Callithrix jacchus: one gene and its partner. The protein of the gene in region 1 purifies or fractionates together with the protein of each later gene. This does not show direct contact. Links are inferred from orthologs where the notes say so. Each region holds a gene or a part of one and is shown in the gene's direction. Other genes may lie near its edges. The genes, in order: NXF1 and NXT2.

Region 1 (15,857 bases):
GTCAATTGAATCACTTATTCAAGGTGCTAACCATTAGACTAAGCACACTTATCCGTTGGTATTATGGGACATTGGCTCCAAGAGCCCCAGAGGATACCAAAATCCATGCATGCTCAAGTCCCATAAAATCATGTCATATTTGTATGTAATCTCTCATCCTCCAATATACTTATTTTTTTTTAAAAAATTGTTTTTATAGATAAAGAATCTTACCATGTTGTTCAAGCTGGTCTCCAACTCCTAGGCTCAAGTGATCCTTCTGCCTGAGCCTCCCAAAGTGCTGGGATTACAGCCTAGCCACAACTGGGGGTCTACATCCTTTTTTTGTTTGTTTTGTTTTGTTTTGTTTTTGAGACAGGGTCTTGCTGTGTCACCCATGCTGCAGTGCAGTGGCACAATCTCATTGCAGCCTGGAGCTCCTCAACTTCCTGGGTTCAAGCTATCCTCCCACCTCAGCCTCCCGAGTAGCTGGGACTAAGAGGGTCACATCACCACACCTGGCTACTTTTTGTATTTTTTGCAGAAATGGGATTTTGCATGTCGCCCAGGCTGGTCTCAAACTTGTGAGATCAAGTCATCTGCCCACTTCAGCTTCCCAAAGTGCTGGATTTCCAGGTGTTAGACACCACGGCTGGCTATAGAGCTTTTTTATCCCTGACTTCCTGTACATGTCATGAAGATTTCCTTTTTCACTCAGAACCATGATTTCCTGACTGTAGTGTCTGAACTTTTTTCCCCTTACAACAAATATAATGTGTACACATCAGATAAAAATCTGTAAATACTGATGAGCAAAAATTATAACTAACATTTTGGGGGCTCTTGTGGGTTACGGACTTTATATTTGTTAACTCATTGAAGACTGGCAGCAGCCTGAGGGAAGGTAGGGTTTGTGTAGACCTCGTTTTGCCAGTGAGGAAAATGAGGCTTGAAGTTAAAGACTACCTTAGAGTCTTAAGCTAATAAATGGCAGAGCTGGTTTTCAAGTCAGAAATAACTCATTTATAGCCCTCTTCAAAAGCCTTTTCTATTCACAAGAATGGGATCATATTGTGACCATCTTTCCATGTCAATAAATTGGCCTGGTATGGTGGCTCACGCCTGTAATCCCAGCACTTTGGAAGGCTGAGATGGGTGGATCACAAGGTCAAGAGTTCGAGACCAGCCTGGCCAGCATGGTGAAACCCCATCTCTACTAAAAATAAAAAAATTGACTGGGCATGGTGGTACGTGCCTGTAGTTCCAGCTATTCGAGAGGCTGAGGTAGGAGAATTGCATGAATATGGAGGCAGCGGTTGTACTGAGCTGAGATCCAGCTGGGGCGACAGAATGAGACTCCATCTCAAAATAAATAAACAGACTTCAACAGCATTCTTTTTAATCCAGTGTCCTTTTGTTTTCTCTTCTCCCGGCCTTGTTCCCAGGATCGACGAGAATGTGCTAGGAGCCCAGCTGGACGTTGAGGCCGCCCATTCAGAAATCCTCAAGTACTTCCAGTCAGTCACCTCCAATCGGTGGCTCATGGTCAAAATCTTCCTCATTCTCATTGTCTTCTTCATCATCTTTGTGGTCTTCCTTGCTTGAACCTGCTCCACTCTGAGGCACTCCGTTGGGGTTTGGGACCCTCCTGGGAGGGCAAGTAGCCGATGCTGCCACCGAGCCTGTGCAGGGTGCTTGGGAGAAAGGCCCTGTTTCCCTGAAACTGCTAAGAATGGCCACTGCCCCTGATCTCCCACCCCTTTCCTCTGGCCACCCTGTCCTGCCCCCACCACCCTCAGGCCCTTGAAACACACACAGTTCTGGATTTGGACTCTGCTGTGAAGTGACTGGAAGGGAGCAGAGGCCGCTGGGGGCCAGCTGGGGGAGGTTGCCTCTACTAGGAGATTTTTATAAACCCTCTCCAACCTCTCCCAAAGAAAACTTTGGCAGCAAAGGGAGATGATGCCGTTCCCCACTTTTCCTGTGAGTGAAGAGAGGAAGTAAAATGTCCCAGGGACCAATTTTCCCATCTGGGTTAGGACTTGACCTCTTCTTCCTCTTTCACCATGTGAGGCAGGGAGCCCTGAGCCCTTCAGCTGCCTGCACAAACTCCAACATTGGCTGCTGGTGACTCTCAATCTGCCAAATGTGCTGCAGCCCGTTTTCTCCCAATTACAGCAAGACTGTCATCCTTACTAGCTATGTCATCATTTCTGGGTGGGAGCGTCGAAGGGCCTAGGCAGTGAGTGGAATGAGCCCACTGCCCAGTACCAGAACTGAAAGGGTTGGGCTAATGGCTCTGCAGGGTATTACTGCTGACAGGCTATATTGGGCTCTGACACACAGCTGCCTCCAGGCAGGGCAGAACCAAGTGTTGCAACACTTCATTAGCATAGAAACTTCCTTTCACACAGGGGAGCAGGATCCCAGAGGGGGTCCTTGATTGGTGGCAACTTCCAGGACCATCTCAAGCAGTGTTTGGACCTGTTTGATATCTTCCTTAAGCTAAGCAAGGTAGAAGCTCTGCCTGCTGCCAGGAGTGGAAGGTGGAGGATTTGTTCCCAACTCCAGCTGAGGCTTTTGGTTCCCTCCAAGCCCCTCACCAAATCAAAGCCAATCACAGAGACTGGAGAAGACACCTGCCCAGAATACCCACCATCCAGGTGTGCTTTGTTCTTCCTGACCAAGACTTAACCACATTCTGAGGCTACTCGAGTGCCCCTGCCTCACATATTCCAAAGGAAGTTCAAGCTATAGAGACAACAATCAGGGGCTGGTGCTTCTGGGGGTCTAGGAGATCCCAAGGCCCTGATACTTTAAAATGTTCTCCTTGGCATCTCCAGCAAGTTGTCTGCCACTGCTGGTGAGCTTCACTGTCGGCCTTATTGACACGATGGGTTTCTAGTAGGGAACGTCATTGATGGAAGGTCTATAATGTCAATGCTCGGCAAAGCCCTGATAGATGCCGTCTCATTTGACTCAGCAACTCGCGGCGGGGCGGGTGGGGAATGCAAAGAACAGAAATTCATTTATTTCACAAATACATGTTGAATTTCTACTATGTGCCAGGCATGGTACCGAATCAAGCCCTCGAGGAAGAAAGCTATTAATTAGTCAAGGTTCCTGCTCCCATGAAGCTTACATTCTAATTCTCAACTTCGTGATTATTAATCCATCTTATAGGCAAAGAAAGCGAGGCATAGACAAGGAGCCGAGCTGAAACTGGCTGGATTCCGGTGGGGGTCTAAGCCATCACTTCCACCTGGAGGCGCATCACTTCCACCTCGGAAGCCCTTCGTGCGGTCCCCTTCCCCGCTCTGAACTCTGGGCTGCAGTTGCAGCACTCTGTTCCAGCACTAACTCTGGAGGTGCCCAGGGCAGCGTCAGCGGACAAATGAAAAGGTGCCAGGAGCTGCTGGCAGCCAGCCGGAATTCCGCAAGCTCAGGCCTTGGGCGGGGCGTGGAGGGTCGGGCCCCGCCCCTCACACGACGGGCTTCAGTGTGCGCACGCGCAGTGGCCGCGCTTTCTACAGCAGTGGCACCGCCCACAGCCTAGAACGTCAGCGGCGCGCGACGTGCTATTCCGAATAAATGCGGTGGCGCCCGTCGTAGGGACACTTTGGTCCTGAGCGCTTGGGGGTTCGGACGTTTGGTGGCGTAGCGGCCCGCGCCTGAGCCCGCCCTTGCTCTTCGCTGTGGTATGGCGGACGAGGGGAAGTCGTACAGCGGTCAGTGCTGGTCCTTGAGTCGAGAGCCGGCTATCTGGGACCCCCGGGTGGGAGGCGCCGGCCTAGGCCTCAGCCCCCGGGACGTGAGGCCGCAGGGGCTCGGCGTCCGTGGGGAGCGGCGCGCGGAGGAACCGGGAGCACTTGAGGTGGACACCGAGTTGTTGAACTCCTGGATTCCTGTTGGAATCCTGGTGTTGGAGGACCTGCGGCTCGGAGCGGGTGGCTTGGGGGTGGGGTGACCGGATTCCTTTGAACTTTGTGGGTGGTTGATGCCTGTCAGTTCGGTTTGGCGGCCTGACTCTTCCTTTAATGTGAGTTAGTGCCCTGCTCGTGGGCTGCCCTGGTGCCCTATTTTTTACTGCGTCCAGTCGGTCTTGAAACCTCGGGCCTGGGTTTGGCTTAATATTTGAGACACCTCAACTGGATGTTCTAGTCTGAACACTACACTGGATGTTAGTCCTTTGTAGTAGTTAGGAGTGCATGGCGGAGGTTGAAACCGTGAATTTAAAACTCGTTTTCCACCTCCTTAATGCGGAATAACAACAGTATCTGTTTTTTAAGAGTGGAGGAGGCGGGCAGGGGTGCGGGGAATGAGATCATTTCTATCAAGTGCCTGAAGCATAGTGGCCGGCACTGGAGAAAGTTCTCAGTGAATGTTAGGTGCGCCTTCTGTGTACTTTTTTTCTTGGGGTCATTTGTTGAGATTCATTGTTTACAGTATCTGTATTAGGCAGACTTCTTTTGGGAGTTAGAGACCTTTTAAAGATGCCAGTCCTACACAGCATGTGTCAGAAGGTCATATTCCTGGAGAGCATTCCAGGATCCCTGGTTAAGCACCTGAGCCTGGCACTGCCAGTAGATCCTGAGTCTAGAAGTTGTCTGTCTTCTGAGTTAAAGGCCATTTCTGGCCAAGGAAATGAAGAGCTCCTCACAAAACTTCCAAGTGGCAATTTGAGAACAAGAAGAATTTTTTAGAGGATCCTTAAATTGGTCATATTTGTAACTGGCATCTGTACTGTGGAGAAAAAGTACTGAGTGGCAGATTTCACGTGGCTATCAGAGGTCTGATTTGTGTTCAGTTACACTTTTGGTTGTCACATTTCTACCTTCTGCTTCTCTCTAATTCCAGTTTCTGCTTCATTTTTCTTTTTTCTTGTTTTTTTTTTTTTTTGAGATGGAGTTTCGCTCTTGTTACCCAGACTGGAGTGCAATGGCATGATCTCGGCTCACCGCAACCTCCGCCTCCTGGGTTCAAGCAATTCTCCTGCCTCAGCCTCCCATGTGGCTGGGACTACAGGCGCGTACCACCATGCCCAGCTAATTTTTGTGTTTTTAGTAGAGACGGGGTTTCACCTTGTTGACCAGGATAGTCTCGATCTCTTGACCTCGTGATCCACCCGCCTCGGCCTCCCAAAGTACTGGGATTATACGCATAAGCCACCGTGCCCGGCCTCTGCTTCATTTTTCAAAAGCCCTACACAATTTTCCAATAACTTCCCTGATGCTTCCCTCCCACAGAGAGGGTTCTTACCGCTGGACTGCCAGTGGAGTTTGCATGGACATGGCCTCTGTAGTTAGTATGTATTTCTTCCCATAGTGCAGAGTACTAGAAACTGATTGCTACGCCAAGCAGGACCAGTTACTTACTCCTAATTTGTGTTCCTGTTTCTAACTTCAGAGCACGATGATGAACGTGTTAATTTCCCTCAAAGAAGGAAGAAAGGCCGGGGTCCCTTCCGGTGGAAATATGGTGAAGGAAACCGTAGGTCTGGAAGAGGTGGTTCTAGTATTCGGTCTTCCCGCCTTGAGGAAGATGATGGAGATGTGGCAATGAGTGATGCCCAAGATGGTCCCCGAGTACGATAGTAAGTGACCAGTTGGTCTGGTTTGAATTTAGTGGCCCATGAGATTATATGGCCCTTTTACTGTCCATGTTATTTCCTTTCCAACCTGAAAGAGTGAGAAATGCCAGGAGTGGCTTAATGATTGAACAATCTTAGTTGTAGTCCCACTAACAGTGCAGGTAGGTCTCTGAGAAGACTTTCCTAGCATTTATGGTCATTTTATTCTCTGCTTGCCCACAGCAACCCCTATACCACCCGGCCTAACCGTCGGGGCGATACGTGGCATGATCGAGATCGCATTCATGTTACCGTGCGGAGAGACAGAGCTCCTTCAGAGAGAGGAGGAGCTGGCACCAGCCAGGATGGGACCTCAAAGAACTGGTTCAAAATTACAGTGAGTTCTTGGAGAAAGTAGATAGTGCGGTAGCGATGGGAGGCTGCAGTCAGCCTGGAGATGTTTAGTTTTATTCCACAAAAATTACTATTTTTTTTTGAGATGGAGTCTGCTCTATCACCCAGGCTGAAGTGCAGTGGTGTGATCTCAGCTCACTGTAGCTTCCGCCTGCCTGGTTCAAGTGATTCTTCTTTTTTTTTGGATGGAGTTTCACTGTTGTTACCCAGACTGGAGTGCAATGGCACGATCTCAGCTCACTGCAACCTCCGTCTCCTGGGTTCAAGCAATTCTCCTGCCTCAGCCTCCCGAGTAGCTGAGACGACAGGCGCTCACCACCATGCCCAGCTAATTTTTGTATTTTTACTAGAGACGGGATTTCAACTCATTGACCAGGACGATCTCGATCTCCTGACCTTGTGATCCACCCGCCTCGGCTTCCCAGAGTGCTGGGATTATAGGCGTGAACCACCGTGCCTGACCATCAAGTGATTCTTCTGTTTCAGCCTTCTGAATAGCTGGAACTACAGGTGTCCACTACTACGCCTGGCTAATTTTTGTATTTTTAGTAGAGACAAGGTTTTGCCATATTAGCCAGGCTGGTCTCAAACTCCTGACCTTGTGATCTGCCTGCCTCAGCCTCCCAAACTGCTGGGATTACAAGCATGAGCCACCACATCCGGCCCAAAAATTATTTTTCTCAGCTCTTTACTTCACAGTCAAGCATCTATCTTTTCTCCTAGGAATCAGTATCTTCAGACACCTTAGAGCAGGTTCAGAGAAGGGGTAAATGAGAAATATGAAAACTGGTTGGGGGAGGGAGTAATTTCTCTGGATGTCTTCATTTGGCTCAAGCTGAGTGTGGGGCTGGGAGTCCCTGGAGTTCTCTGAGGGGCAGGCCAGGTGTAAATAATATCTTGGAACTTTTAGAATCAAAAAATTGATTTTTTTTTTGAGGGATAAGTTTAAGTGGGCTGGGTGCAGGGGCTCATGCCTATGCTCCCTGCACTTTGAGAGGCTGAGGCAGGGGATCACTTGGGGCTGGGAGTTTAAGACCAGTCTGGAAATACAGCAAGACCCCTTCTCTACAGAAAAGGGAAGCCAAGCATGGTGGTACATGCCTATAGCCCTAGCTACTCCAGAAGGCTGACAGGAGGATTGCTTGAGCCCAGGAGATGAAGGCTGCAGTGAGCTATGATTGCACCACTGCACTCCAGCCTGAGTGACAGAGTGAGGCCCTGTTACTAAAAAGAGAAAAAATAGTAAGTGTAAGTGGACAGAAAGGAGTTCACAGCTATTGTCCTTTAACTTGAGCAACAATAGGCTATATAGGCTGTATGACATGTCTAGTATTGTGCAGAAGGCACCCAACCTGAAGATCCTACGTGTGTCTCGAGTAGAAAACCTAATACTGGTCCTTTCTTTAGAATGTCTTTTAAAGTTTAGTAGAAGGTATAAAAGGCATTGTATTGGGTCTGCTATTCGGCCTTACTTACAATTCCCTTCTTTTCTCTCCCATTTCTAGATTCCTTATGGCAAAAAGTATGACAAAGCATGGCTCCTGAGCATGATTCAGAGCAAGTGCAGTGTGCCCTTCACCCCTATTGAGGTAAGACAAGGCCTGAGTGGCTGGCTGGCTGGGCAGCAGGGATGGGCAGGGGGCTCTGGACTCCCAGTGTAACGCTCCTGTTTCCTCTTGCAGTTTCACTATGAGAATACACGGGCCCAGTTCTTTGTTGAGGATGCCAGCACTGCCTCTGCATTGAAAGCTATCAACTATAAGATTTTGGATCGGGAGAATCGAAGGGTGTGTTTAAAGGGCCTAGCTTGGCTGGAGGTGGAGGTTGGTGATCAGAGAAGGGACTGGGTCTTGGTCTTGCAGCTTAGGCTCCCCTCGAGTTTTCTGTGCCCTTTGTGTCTTCCCTCCAGATATCTATCATCATCAACTCCTCTGCTCCGCCCCCGACTATACTGAATGAACTGAAGCCAGAGCAAGTAGAACAGCTAAAGGTGAGGCAGGCTCAAATTAGATAAGTTTCCAACCCAGTCTTACCACTTCTCACACCCCCACCCCACACACACAATCCCAGTAACCACTAAACCTGTCTTCCTTTGTAGCTGATCATGAGCAAACGATATGATGGCTCCCAACAAGCCCTTGACCTCAAGGGCCTTCGTTCAGACCCAGGTATGGTTGATAACAGTAGTTCTCAGATAGGTGGTGACAGGTGGGGATCTGTCAGGGAGGGAAAATTTGAGGATATTTTAGTGCTAACGCTGGCCTGGGCAAGACCTCTCAGTTTTCCTTTCCTTCCCTTCTTCCTGAAGATTTGGTGGCCCAGAACATTGATGTTGTCCTGAATCGAAGAAGCTGTATGGCAGCTACCCTGAGAATCATTGAAGAGAACATCCCTGAGGTAACGCCTTTGACCCAATATTAGGCATGAGGAAGCAGGGTGGGTTAGATAGGATGTGGCTAGAGGGCAAATTTGTCTCTGATCCACTTGCTGGTGGTGCTTCCTTTAAACTCCTTTCTCCTCACAGCTATTGTCCTTGAACTTGAGCAACAACAGGCTATACAGGCTGGATGACATGTCTAGCATTGTGCAGAAGGCACCCAACCTGAAGATCCTAAACCTTTCTGGAAATGAAGTAAGAGTTGATACCTTGGCTGTGTTTTTGAGGGGGGTGGGTAGAGGGTGTGCAGGGTTTGTCTGGTGACTGCAAGAGCCAAGAGAAAGAACTCAGGCCAGATGTGGTAGCTTGCGACTGTAATCCCAACACTTTGGGAGGCCAAGGCAGGAGCATCACTTAAGGATAGGAGTTTGCCTAGCTACTTCAGGGGGCTGAGGTGGGAGGATTGCTTGAGCTCAGGAGCTCAAGGCTGCAGTGAGTTATGATTGTGCCATTGCATTCCAGCCTGAGCAACGTGTCTCAGAAAATGTTTAATGAAAAAGGCCAGCATGATGTCACATGCCTGTAGTCCTAGCTACCCAGGAGTCTGAGGTGGTAGGATCTCTTGAGTCCAGGAGTTTGAGGCTACAGTGAACTATGATCATGCCATGGCACTGAAGCCTGGGTGACAAAGCAAGACCTTGTCTCTAAAATTTAAAAAAAAAAAAAAAAAAAAAAGAAAATCTAAAAAGATTAAACAAGATCTCAGAGCAGAGCTAATGGTAGGGATTGGAGGTGTGGGGATCCAACTGGCTCTCTTCACCACAATCTCCTCCCATTTTTCCCCCCACCCTTTGCAGTTGAAGTCTGAGCGGGAGTTGGACAAGATAAAGGGCCTGAAGCTAGAAGAGCTGTGGCTTGACGGAAACTCCCTGTGTGACACCTTCAGAGACCAGTCCACCTACATCAGGTCAGTTGTAGACTCTGTCTCCCCTCCTGGGGACCTTCACCCCCTGGGAGGCTGAGCTAATGCATCCTGACCAGTGACCGTCTGCAGGAGATGTGCAGCCCTGAGCTGGAGCCACCTATCCTTTGGGAGGATCACGTGCTCCCCACTTTGGTCTGTCTGTGCCTTCTAGCTTTGTCCTAAGATCTCCTCTCTTTACTTTTCACCTGACTGCTGGGACTGTGGCCCTTCTTTCTCTTTGCTTCCTGAACACAGCCTTTTCTAGAATCTCCCCTATCCTGTTGTTCCAGGAAAGGCAACTCCCCATTTCTACTCTGACCAGAGGGTATCTTGTACATACCCTATAGATGGTGTTGCCTTGTGCCAAGAGCCTGGTGTCCATGGGCTGAGGAAGCTCTCCCTATCTGAGATTTCCTTCTGAGATGGGCCTTCCCTCCTTGTGTACTGTGATGGCCCCTCTTGCCCTTGTGCCAAGAGGGACCCTTTTCTCAAGATCCATTTGCCCAAGGCTGTTGCCTGGGCTTTCCTGCCCATGCTGAGGTTGAGGCTTCCTAGGGGCTGGTGCCATGCAGTCTGTCTCTTGCCCAGTGCTATGACCTGGGCTCTCCCTGGAGAAGAAACCTGGGTTCCCCAAGATGTGACCAGAGCTGGGGCCCCGCCAGCAGGCGTGGGACTCCCAAGGCAGGTGCTGGGCGTGGAGGCCATGGGGGCATAGTCTACCAAGGAGACAGAGAACCGACCCCCTCGGGGGCGCTGCCTCTCCCTCACTCACACACTGCACATCACCCTGTTTGGCCCCAGTGGATGGCTGGTTAGCCAGAGACGGGTAAGATTCCTCAGGGAAGGAACAACCTAAGACAGGCACAGTCGCAGAGGGGCCATCAGGAGAGAACTTGAAGGCAACAGAGGTGAGGCAGAGACCCTCACCCTCACAACCATGCAGGGTCCTGAACCCTTACACCTTCTGAGGGAGGTCTCCTGCCCCCATGGCTGCTTTGCTTCCCATGCCCAGCTCAGATCGGGACCCAGGTAGCAGACAGAGACCTGGCCAACAGCAAGTGCCCACTCGTCACAGCAAAGATTTGTTTCTCATTTCTAACTTGGACCACAGGGATGGGGCTGCTGAAAGAAAGGGCTGTGTCAGGCTGTCTTTCTCCCTTTTCTTTCTCCCTCGTTTTTCTAGATGCGTTCTTACCTTGTAGTTCTTTCCCTTTTTCTTTGCTTTCTCTTGCCTTTTCCTCTCTATCTCTTAGACCTCCTCCATCTCTCCCTTGCCCCTGTCCCTGCCCCATCCTGCCTTTTTCTCTTTTTCCTGCTTTTCCTTTCCTTTCTTATTCCTTTGCTTCTCAATTCCTGAGCCCCACCTGCTCATCTCCCTGCCCCAACATCCTGTGCCATCCCTGTGGTGTGTTTGGGTCTTGGCCAAGGCCAGACCTGGCAGAACTGATGGATACCTGGTGAGGCAGCGGAGCCCCTGGGCTCCCACCCCATTCCCTCCTCCCGGGGCTGCACAGGTGAGTAGGTGGAAGGTAAGGGGGGCAGGGAGGGGAAGGAGGTCCTGGGCTTAAAGCCTGGGCTTGGAGTGCTGTTCATTGTGGCACTCAGAGTCAGGCAGAGAGAAAAGAGACAGCCTTCAAGGCAGTCCGTGTCTGGGTGCCCCGGGTCAGGTGGGGAGTGGGGGCCATTTTTTCCTGAGCGCAGGCTGGGAAGGAGTGGAGGGATGAGCAGGATGGGATGGGCTGTCCCTTGGGTTTGGTATATTTGCTCCTAGAGCAGCCCAGGAGGCACGGTGGCTCTGAATCGTCACTCACTTCTGTCCCATTCTTGACAGCGCCATTCGTGAACGATTTCCCAAGTTATTACGCCTGGTAAGTCTATAATTTTTTTTCATTTTAACAAGCACACAGCATTTCTCACTCACAAGATTTCTGGATACTTTTCTTTTTTCATTTTTTGAGACGGAGTCTCGCCCTGTCACTCAGGCTGGAGTGCAACTGCATGATTTCAGCTGACTGTCACTTCCTCCTCCCAGGTTCAAGTGATTCTCCTGCCTCAGCCTCCCAATGGCTGAGATTATAGGCACCACCACGCTTGGCTAATTTTCATATTTTTAGTAGAGACGGGGTTACACCATGTTGGCCAGGCTGGCCTTGAACTCCTGACTTCAGGTGATCTACCCATCTCAGCCTCCCAAAGTGCCGGGATTATAGGATTACAGGTATAAGCCACTGCACCCTGCCCTTTTTTCCTTTTTTTTTTTTTTTTTTTTTTTTTTTCAGCAGAGTCTTGTTCTGTTACCCAGAGTGCAGTGGTGCAATCTCCACTCACTGCAACCTCTGCTTCCTGGGTTCAAGCGAGTCTTCTGCCTCAGCCTCCTAAGTAGCTGGGATTACAGGCATGCCCCAAGACGCCTGGCTAATTTTATTTGGTTTGGTTTGGTTTTTTGAGATGGAGTCTCACTCTTGTTGCCCAGGCTACAGTGCAGTGACGTGATCTCAGCTCACTGCAACCTCCACCTCCCGGTTCAAGGGATTCTCCTGCCTTAGCCTCTCGAGTAGCTGGGATTACAAGTGCCTGCCACGTGCCTGGCTAATTTTTTGTATTTTTAGTAGAGATGAGATTTTGCCATGTTGGTCAGGTTGGTCTTGAACTCTCGACCTCAGGTGATCTGCTCACCTCGGCCTTCCAAAGTGCTGGGATTACAGGTGTGAGCCACAGCGCCCCAACCTCTTTGTATTTTTAGTAGGGAGTGGGGGCCATTTTTCCCTGAGGCCAGGCTGGTGAAACAACATGGTGTTTCACCATGTTGGCCAGGCTGGTCTTGAACTCCTGACCTCAAGTGATCCACTTACCTCAGCCTCCCAATGTGCTGGGATTATAGGTGTGAGCCACCACGCCTGGCCTGGATTCCTGGATACTTTTCATGATGCTTTTACACTTGACGTTTGACCCTTCTCTCCTAGTTCTTCATTCTATTTATGCATCCAGTCTTTTTCTCTCATGTTTGCACTGACAACTTTCCGTTTGTTTTGTTTTTTGAGATAAGATCTGGCTCTATTTTCCAGGCTAGAGTGCAGTGCTACAATCTTAGCTTTTACTGTAACCTCCACCTGCCAGGCTCAAGTTATCCTCCCACTTCAGCCTTCCAAGTAGCTGGGAATAGAGGCATGCACCACCATGCCCAGATGATTTTTGTAATTTTGATAGAGATGGGGTTTTGCCATGTTGCCCAGGCTTGTCTTGAACTTCTGGGCTGAAGCCATCCTCCTGCCTCAGCCTCCCAAAGTTCTGAGATCACAGCTGTGAGCCACTATGCCCAGTCTACAGTGTCAACTTTTACTTCTTTCCACAGGATGGCCATGAGCTACCCCCACCAATTGCCTTTGATATTGAACCCCCCACGACGTTACCGCCCTGTAAGGTAAGAAGCACGGACAGAGTAACAACTCGTGTGTGAAGGGAATACTGCTTACATGGTCCTAATACCTGTTTGATTCCAGGGAAGCTATTTTGGAACAGAAAACTTGAAGAGTCTGGTCCTGCACTTCCTTCAGCAGTAAGTATCCCAGGACCCCCTTTCCCACAGCCCAAGGTTGAGGAAAGTCGGGCAGACCCAGGCACACCTCACTTTTTTTTTTTTTTTTTTTTTTTTTTTTTTTTGGACAGAGTCTCATTCTGTTGCCTTAGCTGGAGTGCAGTGGCACAATCTTGGCTCACTGCAACCTCTACCTTCTAGGTTCAAGAGGTTCTTCTGTCTCAGCCTCTCCATAGCTGGATTACAGGTGGCTGCCACCACGCCCAGCTAATTTTTTTTTCTTTTTTTTTTGAGATGGAGTCTCACTCTGTCACCCAGGTTGGAGTGCAATGGCATGATCTCAGCTTGCTGCAACCTCTGCCTCCTGGGTTAGAGTGATTCTTCTGCTTCAGCCTCCTGAGTAGCTGGGATTACAGGTGCCCGCCACCATGCCTGGCTGATTTTTTGTATTTTTAGTAGAGATGGGGTTTTGCCACATTGGCCAGCTTGGTCTCAAACTCCGTATCTCAGGTGATCCACCCGCCTCTGCCTCCCAAAGTGCTAGCATTACAGGCATGAGCCACCAAGTTCAGCCATTTTTTTGGAATTTTAGTAGAGACAGGGTTTCACCATGTTGCCCAAGCTGGTCTCAGACTCCTGGGCTCAAGCAATTCACCCGCCTGGGCCTCCTAAAGTGGTGGGATTATAGGCATGAGCCACCGTGCTCAGCCACAGCTCACTCTTGGGAGGTACTGGGTCCTGCTGTGGCTCTAGACCACAGAGCCTATGCTTTCTTTTTTGTTTTTCCCACAGGTACTATGCTATTTATGACTCTGGAGACCGGCAAGGGCTCCTAGATGCCTACCATGATGGGGCCTGTTGTTCCCTTAGCATTCCTTTCATTCCTCAAAACCCTGCCCGGTAAGTATCACATCCCAGAATCTGCCTGGTACCACAGGGTTTCCCAGCAGATACAGGGCAGCACTTGCTGCAGCAATGCTCTGACACCGTGTCCTTTCCTCTTATTCCCCCAGAAGCAACTTGGCCGAGTATTTCAAAGATAGCAGAAATGTGAAGAAGCTTAAAGACCCTAGTAAGTGTGTGATGTGAACAAAACAGGATGGGAAAAGGGCATGGGAAGGAATCTATCATAAAACTCAGGAGTATGTGGCAGCCCCACTGAGCTTTCTCTACCCACAGCCTTGCGGTTCCGGCTATTGAAGCACACGCGTCTCAATGTTGTCGCCTTCCTCAACGAATTGCCCAAAACGCAGCACGACGTCAATTCCTTCGTGGTAGACATAAGCGCCCAGACAGTAAGCTCCTGCTTGTGCCCTGACAGAAGCCTAGAATTGGGATGGGGGTGGCATTTAATAGGCATGGTTGGGGTGCGCTCAGAAGTCTACATTGTACCTGATGCTGCTTCTGTTTCAGAGCACACTGCTGTGTTTTTCTGTCAATGGGGTCTTCAAGGAAGGTAAGAATCTTTAAAGTCCTGAGTTTGTAGCATGGTCCCACCCCCAGCTGGAATGTACCTCAGCACTCTTAGCTTCCCAGCTACTTTCTCTCCCATTTCTTTTTCTTTTTCTTTTTTTTTTTGAGACGGAGTTTCGTTATTGTTACCCAGACTGGAGTGCAATGGCACGATCTCGGCTCACTGCAACCTCCACCTCCTGGGTTCAGGCAATTCTCCTGCCTCAGCCTCCCGAGTAGCTGGGACTACAGGCACGCACCACCATACCCAGCTAATTTTTGTATTTTTAGTAGAGACGGGGTTTCACCTCATTGACCAGGATGGTCTCGATCTCTTGACCTCGTGATCCACCCGCCTCAGCCTCCCAAAGTGCTGGGATTGTAGGCGTGAGCCACCACGCCGGCCCCATTTTCTTTTTGAACTCCTTCTCCCATTTTGCCTCCAAGCCATCTTGGCTTGGCCTCCCCTCCGCCTGTCCTGACAGGATATTGGAAAAGCCTGGGGATTAGGAAGACTTTGGAGTCAGGCAGTTCTTAGTTTCCATCCTGGTTTTGGTTGTGTGGGGCCGTGGACAAGTAACATTACCTCTAAGACTTAGGTTATTTATTTGTAAGATGGGTAATAGCCATCTCACAGTGGTGCTATAGAAGTAAAATGAAATAACTTACAAAGTGCTTGGCCTTGGGCCTGGCACACAGATGCTATCAGTGGGTTAGTAGTTATTAGTATTATTGTACTCTCTGCCCAACCCTTCACCCCACCTCTACTTCCCTTATACATTTAATCATCCCTGTCTGGCCCGCTAGTGTTCTTCGTATCAAATAAGACCATGATTCAAGAAGCTGTTTGTAAACCACTAGTGATCCTAAGGTGTCGTTGCTCTTGTTCTCATTGCAGTGGATGGAAAGTCTCGGGATTCTTTGCGAGCCTTCACCCGGACATTCATTGCTGTTCCTGCTACCAATTCAGGGTAAATATTCTGCTTTTCACATTGGATACCAGTCCTAATCCATGGCCAACAGTGTGGTAATTGGAGGGTAGAGTCAGTCTTCGGGGTGCTTTCAGAAAGGCAACAGGAAATTGGGGAAAGCTCACATAGTAGTTAAGAGCTAGGTAGGAGCGCGGCTCTGGAATTGTACTGTTTGGGTTTTCATCCTGGCTCCACCTCTAGCAAGTAGGCTGCTGCCTCATCTGAAAGTTTATATTAACAATATTCACTTCCGGGCCGGGCGCAGTGGCTCAAGCCTATAATCCCAGCACTTTGGGAGGCCGAGGCTGGTGGATCACGAGGTCAAGAGATCGAGACCATCCTGTTCAACCTGGTGAAACCCCATCTCTACTAAAGATACAAAAAATTAGCTGGGCATGGTGGCACGTGCCTGTAATCCCAGCTACTCAGGAGGCTGAGGCAGGAGAATTGCCTGAACCCAGGAGGCGGAGGTTGCGGTGAGCCGAGATCGCGCCATTGCACTCCAGCCTGGGTAACAAGAGCGAAACTCCATCTCAAAAAAAAACAATATTCACTTCCTAAATTTGTTGTGAAGATAAATAAAGGACTAAGAACTG
Region 2 (15,560 bases), on another chromosome or scaffold:
GACTTGATCAGAAGATCTGACTGCATAGCACAGCCACATTTAATCCTACTTGACATAATCTATTGTTCCTACAGTCTGCTATCCCAGGGTCACCAGCCAACCCCTAAACTGTACAGATAGATGCCTCTCAATACCTCAAACGTTATCTAATCTGTCCCCACCTCATACTCTCAAATAAGTGGCTGCCTAATTTCCCCTGCCATGGGTAGGAAAATACTGCTCCTCAAGCAAAAACTACATGACAGGCACCGACACATTTAATTCCTAAATCAATGCTGTGAAATATATATTAATATCATTTCCGCTTTACAGATTAGGAGTCTGAGTCATGGAATGGTAATTTTGCCAAGGTCACAAAGCTGGTCAGTAGCATGATGAGGATTTCAGTCCAGACTGGTGCCAATAACAATGTGCTTAATCAAAATGCGATGCTGTGTTCCAAGAAAAGCCTTTTCACAGCCTTCCTAGTCATTCTTCCCAAGTTTTATACATTTGCAGTTATCTAGTGAGGCGCAACTCTGTATCTTATTCACTTTGTTTCCATTTGTATCCCTCCGCCACCACCCAACATAGTTTTCATATCTTTAAATTCACTGCTCTGACAACCAGAGCCCATCATTGTTTATCCAGTCTCCTACCTTTGTAGCACAATCTAGCAATTCCCAGTTTGTAGCACAAAATTCCATGCAAAAATTCCATGCAAAACTGAGCTCTCCCCCACCTCTAACTCAGCTGTCCCTTTCCAGTACTTCAACACTCCCATATTTTCCAGCACTCTTTCCCACACCAACAGCCACTCGCATCGCCATAAAAGAGATCAGACCAAGGTAGGTATTTAAAGATTATGAGAATTTGGAGGAAAATAGATAACAGAGTTATCAAAGTTTGTGTATAGAAGAGAGAAAGGGGGAAAAGGGGAGAAGTGGGGGTAGAGAGGGAGGGAGGGAGCCAAGAACAGAGGGAAAAAAAAGAAAAGAGGAGGGAAGAGAGGGGAGGGGGAGAGGGAGAGGGAGAAGGGTTGCTATAGGGAATGGTCAGAACTAAGCAAGTTACTTGGAATTTCTTTGTAACACAATAATGTTATGTTTATTGTCTAGCACTCTCATTACACTGCGAGCTTCATAAGGATACAGATCATGTCTATTTTATTCACCACTCTCTATATATACTTCCGAGAGAGAATGGGAGGGTACAAAAATCTGTCCCGGCACATAGTAAATACTTGATAAATATTTATTGAATCAATTATGATGAGGAGGAGAGGGGAAACAAAAAAATAAAGATTCCGAGAATTCAAGATAAGTGACTGGGAGAACACAAAAGTTTGGAAATGCAAAGGAAACAATGAGTTAAAATCTTGGACATACAAGTTTGAGAAGCCTACAGTGCACTCTGGTGTTCATCTTTAGCAAAATTCATATATGTAATTCGAGCTCAGATACGGCGTGGGGGCTTGGTATCTTGTTGAGATTCATTAGCATACGGGTAGCCATTTAGATCACCCGGAAGAAAAAACTTAAAAAAAAAAAAAAGGGGATGCTCCGGAAGTGACGGAGGTCAGAGGTTAGCAGGACGGAAGTAGACCAGCTGAGAAGAAGCGGCAGTTAGAGCTACGTTAAAGAGAAAAGTGCCAGGTAGAGTAAGATTAAAAGTATGAGAAAATTCAGAAGCAACTGGTCTCAGGGAGACAGAGAAAGATACCAAGAAAGAAGTGACTCTTATCGGGAGAGGGCAGGCACCAGCTACTTAAGGTAAAACTACAACATCTAATTAATTTGCCATTTAAATCCGAAGTCATTGGTGGATTTGAGATGAGCGTTTTTTAAGGAGCAAAGTCAGATTGCCATGACAGTTGTGTTGCTGGAGTTTGAATCTCTACTAGTTCGTGACACCATAGGGCAGCTTCACTCGGTCTTAGCTGTAAAACGGAGATGATAAAATAATAGCAATTTTACCTCAGCATTATTATAAGTAATAAGTGATATGTGTAAAACTGATTAGAAAAACACCTTACATATAGTCAGCACTCCACATTTTAATTATTGTTAGAATACTTTGCAGAATAAATAGCCCTTCAAAGGTGGTGAATGGCACTGTAAACTTAATTTATGTTGGTGTCTGCAAGACATTTTAAAATGCCGGAATGGAGAAACTAGATAAGCATTTCTTGTTGAATATGGCTAGCTTAGAAATCAAATAGTAATTTTAGCCATACTGCCAAAATGTAGTAATTCTACATTTTGTGAGGATGGTCCTTTCAGAATGTTCCAGAATGTTAAAATTGTTCCCTAGTCATGCACGCCTTTTCCCCAAGCTCTGCCCCTTTATCTATAGGCTATGGAATAGTAGGACTCCTCACATTTCGAATTGGTCTTCAAGGGCTTTGGCTCCGCCTCCTGCGGCAAAAAAGTCCTTGTAATTGAACCCTTTCATTTTTGTTTGTCCCCAAGTATGTCATTAGAAAACTAGGGGACTTTCCTTTTGAGTACAATGTTTACAAAAACAAAGCGGTTTTTAAATTTTAAACTAAGTAAATAAGTATCAAACAAGTAGATAAATGAGGCGGATGGGAGAGATCTGCGGGAACTGAAGGGAGGTGGAACTTAAGGTTGGAACATCGGTGTGCTTTTAACGACGGACCGAGCTACTTCCGGGAGAGAATGGGAGGGTGGAAAATTCCGTCCGTTTCTTGGGTTTCGCGCTCTTTCTAAGTATTGCTCATTCCGCAGCCGTGAGAGGTGGACACATCAGGAGGTGGTGACGTCGCCACTTCCGAAACCCGTTGCTACAAGCTCCCTGATGGCCTCGTCTGTGGTGAGTGCCCGGGCCGGGGCAGGGCGACTGGGCGCCGGGCTCCAGTGGCTGAGGAGAGGGCCTCCGGGGCGGTCTGGCGGTTGCTCACGTGGGTAGGTGACGAATCACGGAACAGCTCTCTGCACCGCGGGGCGGGGCCCACGCTTTGCTACCCGCCCCGCCGGCCCGCCCCCGCCTGGTTTGCAATCGCTTTCTGGTCGGGGAAAGGGACCTGAGCTAGGAAATACCGAGACGCGGCATGTTGGGGTTTGTTGTTTGTGGTTTGCAGTCTCTTTCTCTTGATTATCCCCCTCTCTAAAAATCACTTTAAGTCACCTGACAAAGAAATTGGCGATTCATTGTTCTTAATTTAGCAATAGACTGGGCCCCGTAAATTAATGAGGAAGAAGGTATTCTTTAATTCTCCGGCACGAACGCCAACAGCGTTGCTTTCTTTGGTTTCACAGTTCTTATGCAAACATCAGTGAACGTTTACCTAAAGTGCGAAAGTTTCCTAAGTGGAGCTGCCAGGTTTTCAAGTAGTTGAACTAATACTTTCGTGTGTGTGTGTGTGTGTGTGTTTTCCATTCTTGAAGTCTGGCCCTAACATCTCACTTGAAAAGAGAAAACGCTTTCCCAGCTTATTCAGTGGCAGTTTTTGCCATTCTCTCTCCTTCTCTAAAGTTCAGGTGGTGTCATTTTCATTGCCATGAATGTTTTGTAAAATATTGAGTCTAAAGTACTTAGTTGCCAGGAAAACATTATAAATATTTATGTGGAGAATGAAAAACAGTCCGATTCATTGAGAATATTATGTCCTAAAGACATGAACTTAAAATTACTGAAAAATTTTTTTAATTGAAAACTTTAGAGCCCAGACTTTAAAATGTCTGAATTTATATGAAAGAATGTGGACTGTATATAGAGCTACATAGTGGTTGAAATAAATCATCAGCTTCTATCAGTGGTTTTGTGTTTGTGAGGGGCTGAAAAGGTTGGTAATATATACTTTTGGAATTTTTCTTGTAGGATTTTAAAACTTACGTAGATCAGGCATGTAGAGCTGCTGAGGAATTTGTCAATATTTACTATGAGACAATGGATAAAAGAAGACGGGTGAGTGTTATAGACTCTACTAATCTTTATAGATTCTACTATTCTTTATTAAATACCAGGTCTTGTCTGGAGCCAGCCTTTCATCTGACTTGCATAAATGGTAACTGTGAACTTATTCTTTAAAAGCAAATTGCTCAGCAAAGGATTGTTCTGTCATTAGTGGGAATATGGGCTCTGGAATCATATCCCAGGTTTACCTTTACCTAGTTCCTTGACCTGGAGCAAGTTGCTATTTTCCCTTAATCTCATTTTATTTTCAGGTTGGTAAGTATGAACTAATTAAAATACTGCCTTAACATTAGGCCCAGCATATATTCACTTAAATATGTTACATTTTCTTAGTTCCATCAGTTAACAAATACGGTTAAGGTAGTGCTAATGAAGGGGTTGGTCATTACAGGGAATGTTTCCTCATTTGCCCCTTTTATTTCATATATTTATAGATAATTTCTCATTGTGGCTCAAAACTATAGGTTACACCCACAAAGAGTATCCACGTAGCTTTGATAATATTAAGTCCTCAACAGACCAGGATTTCATCAGGTTGTCATCAACTTATCCCTGCACCATATCTTTTAAGTAATTATTTCAGTATGTGGTCAAATGAATCTTGCCTAGGTCCCTTACCAGCATAGAACTGTGCTTTGGAGAGCTACTTCTATCCTGCAGCTGCAAAAGTTAATACCCTATCTCTGAAAACCTATTTTTTAATCAAACACATTTATTAAACATGGGATTTTTTAAATTATACTTTAAGTTCTGGGATACATGTACAGAATGTGTAGGTTTGTTTTATAGGTATACACGTGCCATGGCAGTTTGCTGCATCCATCAACCTGTCATCTGCATTAGGTATTTCTCCTAATGCTATCTCTCCCCAGCCCCTCAGCCCCTGACAGGCCCTGGTGTATGATGTTTCCCTCCCTGTGTTCATGTGTTCTCATTGTTCAACTCCCACATATGAGTGAAAACATGTGGTGTTTGGTTTTCTGTTCTTGTGTTAGTTTGCTGAGAATGATGGTTTCCAGCTCCATCCATGTAACTCCAAAGACATGGAGTTACTCATGCTTTTTTAATGGCTGCATAGTATTCCATGATGTATATGTGCCACATTTTCTTTATCCAGTCTATCATTGATGCACATTTGGGTTGGTTCCAACTCTTTGCTATTGTGAATAGTGCTGCAGTAAGCATACATGTGCATGTGTCTTTATAGTAGAATGATTTATAATCCTTTGTTTATATACCCAGTGATGGCATTGCTGGGTCAAATGATATTTCTGGCTCTACATCCTTGAGGAATGGCCACACTGCCTTCCACAATGGTTGAACTAATTTACACTCCCACCAACAGTGTAAAAGCATTCCTATTTCTCCACATCCTCTCCAGCATCAGTTGTTTCCTGACTTTTTAACGATTGCCATTCTAACTGGTGTAAGTGAGATAGTGTCTTAATGTGGTTTTGAATTGCATTTCTGTAATGACCAGTGATGAGCTTTTTTTCATATGTTTGTTGGCCACATAAATGTCTTCTTTTGAGAAGTGTCTGTTCATATCCTTCATCTACTTTTCTATGGGATTGTTTGTTTTTTTCTTGTAAATTTGTTTCAGTTCTTTTTAGATTATGGATATTAGCCCTTGGTCAGATGGATAGATTGCAAAAAGGTTCTCCCATTCTGTAGGTTGCCTGTTCACTCTGATGATAGTTTCTTTTGCTGTGCAAAAGCTCTTAAGTTTAGATCACATTTGTCAGTTTTGGCTTTTGTTGCCATTGCTTTTAGTGTTTTAGTCATGAAGTCTTTGCCCATGCCTATGTCCTCAATGGTATTGCCTAGGTTTTCTTCTAGGGTTTTTATGGTTTTAGGTCTTATGTTTAAATCTTTAATTCATCTTGAGTTAATGTTTGTATAAGGTGTAAGGAAGGGGTCCAGTTTCAGTTTTCTGCATATGACTAGCTCTTTTTTCCAACACCATTTAGTGAATAGGAAATCCTTTCCCCATTGCTTATTTTTGTCATGTTAAAGCCTATATTTTTAGGGCAGAAGATAAGAGACATTTCTTCTACAGATATTTGATGTCAGGGGAAAGGGATATAACAATGGATGTTTATTGTACCTTGTCTTGAATGTGTGTTGTACCTTACTGCTTTCAAAAAATAAAGTAGAAAAAAGACAACATATTTCATTGCCAGCATCAAGATAGGTGTTGGCCTTTGTTTTTTCTTTTTTGAGATAGAGTCTCACTCTGTTGCCAAGGCTGGAGTGCAGTGGCACGATCTTGGCTCACTGCAACCTCTGCCATCCAGTCAAGCGTTTCTTCTGTTTCAGCCTCCCGAGTAGCTGGGATTACAGGCACCTGCCACTGCGCCCAGCTAATATTTGTAGTTTTAGTAGAGATGGAGTTTCACCATCTTGGCCAGGCTGGTCTTGAACTCCTGACCTTGTGATCCACCCACCTCAGCCTCCCAAAGTGCTGGGAATACAGGCGTGAGTGACCACACGTGGCCAGCCTTTAAACCCAAGTTACATTATAGAATTAAGCTAACAGTGTGTCATGTGACCTCAGAGTTTTAACTGTTGAATTTCTGCCTCATTTGGGCCTTAACTTCTTTGAGTTATCAAAGTCTCTCCTTTAGCAAATACTCATGATTCTTTTGAACTAAGTACACTAATAGAGTAGTGCTATAGCTGAGCATGGTATGACATGCCTGTAATTACAGCTACTTGGGAGGCTGAGACAAGAGAATTTCTTGAGCCCAAGAGTTTTCAGACCAGCCTGAGCAACAGAGCGAGACCCTGTCTCAATTAAAAAAAAAAAAAAAAAAAAATATTTAAGAAAACATAGATACCTTCTCTATAAAATGCAAGTAGTGAACTAATTCTAACACATGCAAACATTAAATGTTTCATATATATATGGCCACTAGCATTAAAGGGTACAGTTAAGACTTGATTGAAAACTTTGTTAATTCTCATAATTACAAAAGGAAGACAAACTAAAACTGGCTTGGGGCTGCATGTGCTTGGAATTTGTGATCATTTCATTCATTTTAATACAGAAAGAACTTAATTGGGTGCAAGGTTTTATTTGTCTAAAGTGAAATATGAAAAAATATATTTTATTGCTTAGTTTATAAAGAATAGGGTAATATTTATTTAAGGCCAAGATTATACATCAGACATTTTGTTCGTGTTAATTTCCAGTGGAGATGGAGCAAGGGGAGTGGAGATGAAAGTAGAACTACAGAAATGTTTATATACCATCTGTAATGTTTGAATCCATTTCTATAAAATGTTTACCTAGAACCAGAATTATTTCCCTTTTTAAAATTTATTATTCTTTTTAGGCACTAACCAGGCTGTATCTGGACAAGGCCACCTTAATATGGAATGGAAATGTTGTTTCAGGGCTGGATGCCCTGAATAATTTTTTTGACGCATTGCCTTCTAGTGAGTTCCAGGTCAATATGTTAGATTGCCAACCAGTTCATGGTAAGATCATGATCTTTCAAGGTACTTCCTTTGTTTTTCTTTAGTAAGCACTGAGCTTTTACACAAAAAGCAGTGAGCAACTTTTAGTGGTAGAACTATTTACTTACTTGAGCAATTTAAATATTATGAAAAAAACTGTCCAGTCAAACTTTTGGTCTTCCTTCAGATTCTTTCCAATAGTAGGTTTTGATGGATTGTGTGATTATGGCTTATTAAAAGTTGTATGAAAAGTTGAGATTAAATGTGATTTTTGTAAATGGAGAAGAAAGATTATCTAATTTCTTGAAATAGTTGCTTGCTGGGCCCTGAAATGCCTCCATATGGTAAAATTATACCATATCTCTGATTAATGTGTTTCAGTATATTACAATCTATTAATATTTCACAGAAATTTACTCTGTTATGTGAAAGGATAACTTTTGACAAGACAGTTTGATTCCAGATAGATTGATACAGTTTAATATAACCTCTAGGTGGGTTTCTAAGTGCCTTAAATTGTAGTTTCGGGTGATTTTTTTTCCTTTATAATTCCTGAAAACAATAGTTTAAGAAGCAAAACATGAATAAGCTCTGTTAGAAACCTGAAATATTAATTATGAAATATTAATATATATATGAAGCAAATGGTCCTATGCTAGATATAAGCTCTTTATTTTGAAACTTTAGAGTAGCCCAAATTTTTCTGGACTGAAAATGTTAATATCTTTGAATGAATATTTAGTTTTCTGGATTTGGGTATGCATGCTTAAGATTATGTTCAAGGGACAGAAAGTTGATGGAAAAAAGTTTAAGCGTTAGACCATAAACCATGTATTTTAAGCCTGAAAATCTGCTTATTTGAAGATAGAAACTGTCCTGTTTTCTTTTTTTTTATGTGGATAAAGAGCAAGCAACTCAGTCCCAGACTACAGTTCTTGTAGTGACCAGTGGAACTGTGAAGTTTGATGGAAACAAACAACATTACTTCAACCAGAACTTCCTGCTCACTGCACAGTCCACTCCCAACAATACTGTGTGGAAAATTGCAAGTGATTGCTTCCGTTTTCAAGATTGGGCTAGTACTTAAAGGGGCAAACCTCCATTCTCATTTAGTCCATTAGTTCCAGCAGCAGAAATTTATGTCAACTATTTTGGTTGTAGAAGCACTATAATATGTGCTGAAACCAAATTTCTTTAATATTTTTTATTCCTATCAGCACCTTTTCTACCAGATGCCTGTTTGGAATGTTGCCCTTTAAGAGCTTTAAAGCTACTTTTTTACATGCCTTATATACATTCCACTAATGACATTCTTACAGTAATATTAAACACATGATTTTGGTACTAACATACTCACTGTGAACCCAGCCTATTGCAAAAATAAAATCCTTTTATAATACTATCTATGGAATGTCAGCACAATATCTCTCTGGGAAGAAGTGGAGTTTTCTGGTTATTAGGTTAATTTTGTAGTAAAACACATTGCCTGTTTTCTGCTAACACTGGAAATGCCATTTTAATATATGGCTTTTTCAGATCAGTTCAGTGAAAATAGTACAGATTTAGGTTTACATAGCTACTCTGACATATTAGAATTGCATATAGAGATGTTCAGTAGTCTTTTTTCATGTTAAGCAATATTTTTTATTTTGGTGTGTTTTCTTATCAAGTAAATCAGCTAGAGAAGTGCAGAATATTCTCAATTGATAATCTGAGTATTGGGTGCATTTGGTGGATTAAAAGCAAAGTTTCCTGAAAAGATTTTTCTTGGCAGCTCGAGGTCTATACATTTAGGTAATGAGTGGTAGTAGAACTAATAGCTTTAACAGGGTTATAGGTAGGGAATGAGAAATAGAAATCCAAGGCTGAAGCCAAAAGTAAGGAGGGTAGCCAAATGGTAAACTGTTGATACTTGTTTTCTACCTCCTAAAAATGTAGCTTATGTTTAGGATTTAAATTACTGAGTTAATAAGTATCCTTGCCAAATGGTCATGAATGTCACTTTTCTTCTAAGACTAATATTTTTAGATCTTTTCACTTCATCTCGTACTTATCACCAATGTATAGCTCCATTTATTCAAGAACTTATGGGAGTAAAATAATAGCAATAAGCCTAACCCTTTAAAAGGGTCTAACATGAGGGAGTTGGAGCCAAATCCATTGCTATCTCTTGGTGACACCCTTAATTTTTAAGTCTTCCATGTGAACTTTAGGCTCTAAAGCTTCTTATGTATCACACATCCCCCAAATAAATGATTTTTTCCCAGTGTTTTGTACTGTCAACTGCATTATCTTTAGTTATTAAAAGATAGAATTATTTAATTTTGTGGTTTGTTCTTCCATGTGACATTGGGTAAATAGATCTGTTTTAAAATATGTTCCTGCTATGTGGCTAAATCATTGTCTTTTTAGAAAGAAAATAGAGAATAGCAGATCTTCATGATAATCCTCAAAAGAACAAAATGCTTAACTTTTTTTCAATTTCTAAAGGTAAAAAACCTAGATTCAGTTTTTGCTTAAACATTAAGTGCTTTTCCATTTTTTAATATTGGTAAGCTAGATATGCCAGCTTTGTTTCTACATTGCAACCAAAAGCTGTTTCTTTTCATTTAATTGTAAAACGAGTAATTCATTTACTCTTGCCCAAAACTGTACACTGTACTTCTATTATACTAATAACATAGAATTATATAGGATAATTGTATGGAACTCAAATTTACACCATGCTTTCTTGTAGTGATTGAAACTTATACATTTTATTCTACCCATAGTGAGCTTATTCTTATTTTAGATCGATTTTCTAAAACCTCAGCTTTAGCAGCAACAGTCAGAATGCCCAAATGCTGCCCTTTCCCTTACCGAGAATGATGTCAAGTAAAAGCTGCACATAACTAGCAATAACTAAATTGAACGGTGTGTATTGTTCATGATTGTCGTGTGTTTTAAGACTTGTATATAAATTGCTTTTTCCAAACTCTGTATAACTTCTAAATGGCTGGAACTACTCTTATAGGGACTAGACTGTATTTTTGACATGTTCTTATTTTTGTAACTTGAAAAAATAAAATTTTGCCATATGACAGATGTCATCAAGCTTGTTTTAAGGTCTTTCGATTTTTGTTCTTAGATTTCAGAATGGGTACTTTTTTCTTTGCAATATGAGGTTTTCCAAATTTAGGGAAAAAAAATTACAGTAATGTGTTAACAATGGTTGACAACTTGGATCTTTTTTTTTTCCTTCTGTAACCTACCATATCTTTCTCCTTTTCCTGCCAATTATTCACATTCCTGAGATCATCACTTGTTTGAGATACCTGTGAGGTTTTTGGTGAGAAGTTGGAAATCTTAGCCTTGAGAAACTAGCCAAAATATAGTTGATTTCCAGAAAGAATGGTTCCATTAACTTTAATGCTATTAAAAATATGTCAACAGACTTCTTTGGAGGGGAATGAGAAAAAGCAATACCCAGCCAGGCGTGGTGGCTCACGCCTGTAATTGTAACACTTTGTGAGGCCAAGGTGGGAGGATACTTGAGTCAAGGCATTCAGATACTTGAGACCAGCCTGGGCAAAGTAGCAAGACCACTGTCTCTATAAAAATCAGCTAGCAGCGGGGGCTGGGGATGGTGGCTCACATCTGTAATCCCAGCACTTTGGGAGGCCAAGGTGGGCAGATCCACGAGGTCAGGAGATCGAGACCATCCTGGCTAACACCATGAAACCCCGCCTCTACTAAAAATACAAAAAATTAGCTGGGCGTGGTGGCACGCGCCTATGGTCCCAGCCTCGGGAGGCTGAAGCAGGAGAATCACTTGGACCCGGGAGGTGGAGGTTGTGGTGAGTAGAGATTGCACCACAGCACTCCAGCCTGGGTGACAGAGTGAGACTTTGTCTCAAAAAAAAAAGTTAGTGGGGCACAATGGCATGTGACTGTAGGCCCAGCTACTAAAGAAGCTAAGTTGGGAAGATCACTTGAACCCAGGAGCTCAAGGCTGCAGTGAGCCATGAATGCACAACTATACTCCAGCCTGGGCAATGGAGCAAGACTTCATCTCTAATTTTAAAAGAAAATAATAGCTCTTAAAATTAAAAATCATATTTTATCTCTTCAAAGATGCATGTATTTTTCACATTTTAACATCCCTGGAATTAGTACAGATATTAAATTGATGTCATATCATAGTTTAGTCTCATTTCCATTTTCTCAGTGGTAAAGTAATGGTGAGTCTTATAAACAGTGGCATCTTAGGAGTTTTGCCTAGATAAAAATGGCTAAGAATCTACTTAGGTCTAAATTTGTAGGTATTAGTGGAAGTGAAAGGCTGTAAGCTTACAAAACTAGTAATTCATGACTCAAATTCTGTCACAATGCCTTTTGTATTTCATGAGTAGCCTATATGGCTAGAAGAGCCACAGACTCAGTGAATTTGAGTCATGGTAAATTTTCGTGGTTTTTGGAAATTATCTAGTAATGTATAGTGTATCTAAAAAGATAGTCCCAAAGAGGTTCAAGCATAAGCACAGTGTTTCGAAAGGGAACAAGAAGTCAAAAGCCAAGAAGGTACAGTGAATTCTTTTCTGGAATTTTGATGAATTCATTATTTGCCTGAAATTGGGCAGGAAATTTGGTGGAAGGGGATCCCATTTACTGATTTTTGTTATAAGCATGTGTTGTCCTTCCTACCCTGTGTGTGCTTTAACATAACCGCACATATTTAGGGGAAAATGGTAAGGCATTTTTGTCTTTTTGATTTTACAGTTGACTCTATACAATAAAAGTATTTCATCAAAACACTTGTTACCAAACTATTAATAAATGCTCACCCTTTGCCAAATGCAGCTGTCTTTACAAAAGAGTACTCAGTGACTCTCAGTCAGCTATGTAGGTCAGTCTAGCTTTCTAGAGAAGCAGTAAAAGGTAGAAAAATGTATTGTTGGAATAATGTGTCAGATTGAGGGGTCTTAGGACACAGCATAAACCTGGGCTTGAGGTATATGCATTCTTTAGATAGGTAGCTTTCAAAATTTTTACCGTGACCCATAGTAAGAAGTATATTTTATATCACAACCCCAGTATAGAGATGTACAAGTAAACCTATATATGCAGTGTGTGTGTGTGTGTGTGTGTGTGTGTGTGTGATGTCCAAAATAAAACTCATGTTTACCACTTGCAGTGTGGTCCTGGCATTTTCTATTTCATTCTATTAATTTTTTTGAAAATGCTGATCATAAATTGCTCAACTGATTTTTTTACAACTTTCTAAGGGGTTGTACCATCAGTTTAAAAAGCACAAAAATAGAGCAAGCATATTTTCACTATCACTTTTGAGTAGGGATATAGGGATGGCTTCCAAAAAGTAGTACCATGTATCAGTGATGTCACCCTGACTTGGAAGTGACCAAAAACTTTCTCCTCTCAGGCTTTTCATGTTTGTTGAGGGCCATGAAGGGCAGCAGTCTTTGCCTCCCATTCCTTGGTTTGCATGAGAAGTTTAGAACTAAGAAAGCAAATCCTTGTGTTAGTCTTTAGGCAGAGTTTGGGAAGAGAATGAGTGGCAATGAAAAGGAGTTGAATTGGAAGAAATGGTCCTATTTCAGTTGTCCAAGCAAAAAAGTGAGAAGGCATTCTAGCAAAACCACTTTGGAACATGATCTGATATTATGTAAGCTGTATTTTGATAAATTTTAAGTAAATTTCATTTTTTTCCTTTTCCTCCCTCCTTGAACACCCCAAAAAAGGAGTGGATTATTCATGCCTCCCTTTTTAGACTATATAGGGTAACTTCCTGATGTTCCATGAATAATTCACTCCTTGCTTAGCACCCATCTGCATATCAACTCCCCTTGTTTTACAAAGGCTGTGGTGGTCTCTAAGGTGTAAATACTGGTCCCAGACCCAAAGAAGTCCTGTATTCTAAGGCCCTTCTGTCCCTAATGTGTTTTGTGACTTTGTGCAATTCACTTACTCTGGGCCTCTCTCTTCAGCTGTTGAATGGAGATACTGTTTGTCCTATCTTGCCCACCAAGTGGTTGTGAGAATCAAGTAAGGCAACAAATGAAAATATTTAAGTGCCTCATGCTACATACCTGTAATGGTTACACTTTTTGGCTTGGTGATTGGTTTCCTCCACTCCCAAAATTCTGGTTTTCTTTAAGGGTAAAATCTTGAGAATGATTGTTTCCCACAGCCAGACACTAATTCTAATCCTTGCCCCTGCCTTTACTGTGTGTGTGTGTGTGTGTGTGTGTGTGTGTGTGTGTGTGTGTACACACACACATATACAAATTTGCAAGAGTCTTTCTGTAACCAGAAAAACAAAATGGACTGTAACATTATTCATTCCAATTCTCTTGCTCAAGGGCAGGAAATTAGCAATAGACGCCTGCAAAACTTAACCAATCCCGGTACCGGGGTCTGACTTGGAGACCTGAGCTGCCTGAGGTGGCCAACAAGGCCTTTGTTTTCCTGTCTCTTTTGTGTTGTTTCTGAAAGAGCCTCTGGAAATGATTTTTCTAATGTGCTAATCTGTCTGTCTGCGGCACCCAGGATTCCCAGAGGTCTGGGCTCAATCTCAGACCTAATAATTCAGTGGCTTTGGATGTTGCTGAGGAGAGAAGACAAGCCTGGAGATGGGATGGAAGGAGAAATTAGTTGGGGGGCAGGTGAAGGAGGAGGGTAGGTAGGGACAGTTGGGAAGACACTGCTTTCCAAACAACTGAAAATAAAAGAAGAGGAAGTGGGGAGAGAGAAATGGAAAAACAGCCTTCCTAGACAGGTAATTTATAATAACTGGAAGGAAAATGAGGGCTGCAGCTAAAAATATGTATACACTCACAAATCTCTGGAAGGCCAGTGGCAAAACTAGGAACTAGGAGACTTCCTACCTCCATGCCCTTTTCTCCCATCCTTCTTGGGTGCTATATTGCTATGCTTCCCAAGGCCCCCACTGTTGTAGACTCTAGACCTAACCTGCCCTCTCTTTAAATCCTTCAGGCCTCACCCTCTCCTTTTGAGCTAATTTGTTAACTCTTCACTATGGAGGCAATTGGCTTTTATCTTGGGGTTGTTGCATTTTGGCTGGAAGTATCTAGAACAACACCATAAGTGAAAGGTATATTTCATTAGTCTTAGTGTCAGAAGCATTTGAACCAGAGCAACTTCATCTTGAGCAACACCTGGGTAAAATGAGGCTGAAACCTGCTGGGCTGCATTTCCAGGAGGTTAAAGCATTCTAAGTCACAGGTTGAGATAGGAGGTCAACTGCAAGACAGAGGTCATAAAGGCCTTGCTGATAAAACAGGTAGCACTAACGAAGCCAGCCAAAACCTACCAAAACCAAGATGGTGACAAGAGTGACCTCTAGTCATCCTCACTGCTACGCTCCACCAGCACCATGACAGTTTACAAATGCCATGTCAACATCAGGAAGTTACCCTATATGGTCTAAAAAGGGGAGACATGAATAATCCACTCCTTGTTGACCGTATAATTTTTTAGAAACATAAAAATGGGCAACCAGCAGCCCTTGGGGCTGCTCTGCCTCTGCAGTAGCCATTCTTTTATTCCTTTACTTTCTTAATAAACTTGCTTTCACCTTAATCTATGGACTCGCTTGAAAATCTTTCTTGCTCAAGATTCAGGAACTCTCTCTTGGGGTCTGGATCGTGACCCCTTACTGGTAACATCTTTCTGGTGAACCCCAAGGGATGATACTGAAGAAACCCCCTACCAAAAGGAAAATCATCTGCATGGACCAATTGGCCAACTTTGGGTAAGTGGGGTGCATGTACCTGGGTAAAGGATGGGATTGGGTTACAGGCCCAACTTAGGGGAGTTAGAGTCTCTCCTAAGACACAGAGGGTTAAAGGACCCTCTTAATGAACGGCAAGGATTCTTGACTGAACTTGGGTTGTAGGCCCAACTTAGGAGGGTTAGAGTCCTTCCTTAGATTTAGGAGTTTAGAGGCCCTTCCTCAGTAAAGGTCCTCTCAGCTAAGAATGGGTTTGGCACTATGGGATGTTAATGGCTATTCTCTTTGAATTAATCTATCTTCCACTTTGCTGATGGCTGTGGGTGACAGGATAAGGCATGTATAGGACCATGGGACATAGGGAGCTTTTTTCTCCCTAAAAGGGGAAACTTGTGAGTTAATGGGACTGCTAGAAAGATCCCTTCACAAA

What was found.
Region 2: the proteins of NXF1 (region 1) and NXT2 purify together in Homo sapiens (co-immunoprecipitation; 5 studies listed by BioGRID and IntAct, counting the BioPlex papers as one, with this or other methods). This does not show direct contact. The link is inferred for Callithrix jacchus from reciprocal best matches to the Homo sapiens genes NXF1 and NXT2.

What each region holds. Positions count from the first base shown.
Region 1 is NC_133511.1:120,076,118-120,091,974, reverse strand, and holds the start of NXF1 (nuclear RNA export factor 1), read left to right. Parts: upstream 1-3,595; 5' UTR 3,596-3,679; coding exon of another isoform or gene 3,680-3,707; intron 3,708-4,906; 5' UTR 4,907-4,922; coding exon 4,923-5,004; intron 5,005-5,385; coding exon 5,386-5,572; intron 5,573-5,791; coding exon 5,792-5,945; intron 5,946-7,467; coding exon 7,468-7,551; intron 7,552-7,644; coding exon 7,645-7,749; intron 7,750-7,871; coding exon 7,872-7,952; intron 7,953-8,060; coding exon 8,061-8,130; intron 8,131-8,270; coding exon 8,271-8,359; intron 8,360-8,486; coding exon 8,487-8,594; intron 8,595-9,196; coding exon 9,197-9,306; intron 9,307-11,134; coding exon 11,135-11,171; intron 11,172-12,655; coding exon 12,656-12,724; intron 12,725-12,803; coding exon 12,804-12,859; intron 12,860-13,630; coding exon 13,631-13,738; intron 13,739-13,851; coding exon 13,852-13,910; intron 13,911-14,017; coding exon 14,018-14,133; intron 14,134-14,251; coding exon 14,252-14,294; intron 14,295-15,188; coding exon 15,189-15,261; and 1 more. Other genes in the region: STX5 (syntaxin-5), read left to right, coding at 1,425-1,584.
Region 2 is NC_133524.1:105,979,224-105,994,783, forward strand, and holds NXT2 (NTF2-related export protein 2), read left to right. Parts: upstream 1-1,566; 5' UTR 1,567-1,653; coding exon 1,654-1,751; intron 1,752-2,729; coding exon 2,730-2,814; intron 2,815-2,991; exon of another isoform or gene 2,992-3,060; intron 3,061-3,822; coding exon 3,823-3,909; intron 3,910-7,256; coding exon 7,257-7,401; intron 7,402-8,285; coding exon 8,286-8,467; 3' UTR 8,468-10,473; downstream 10,474-15,560. UniProt on the Homo sapiens protein: Regulator of protein export for NES-containing proteins. Also plays a role in mRNA nuclear export.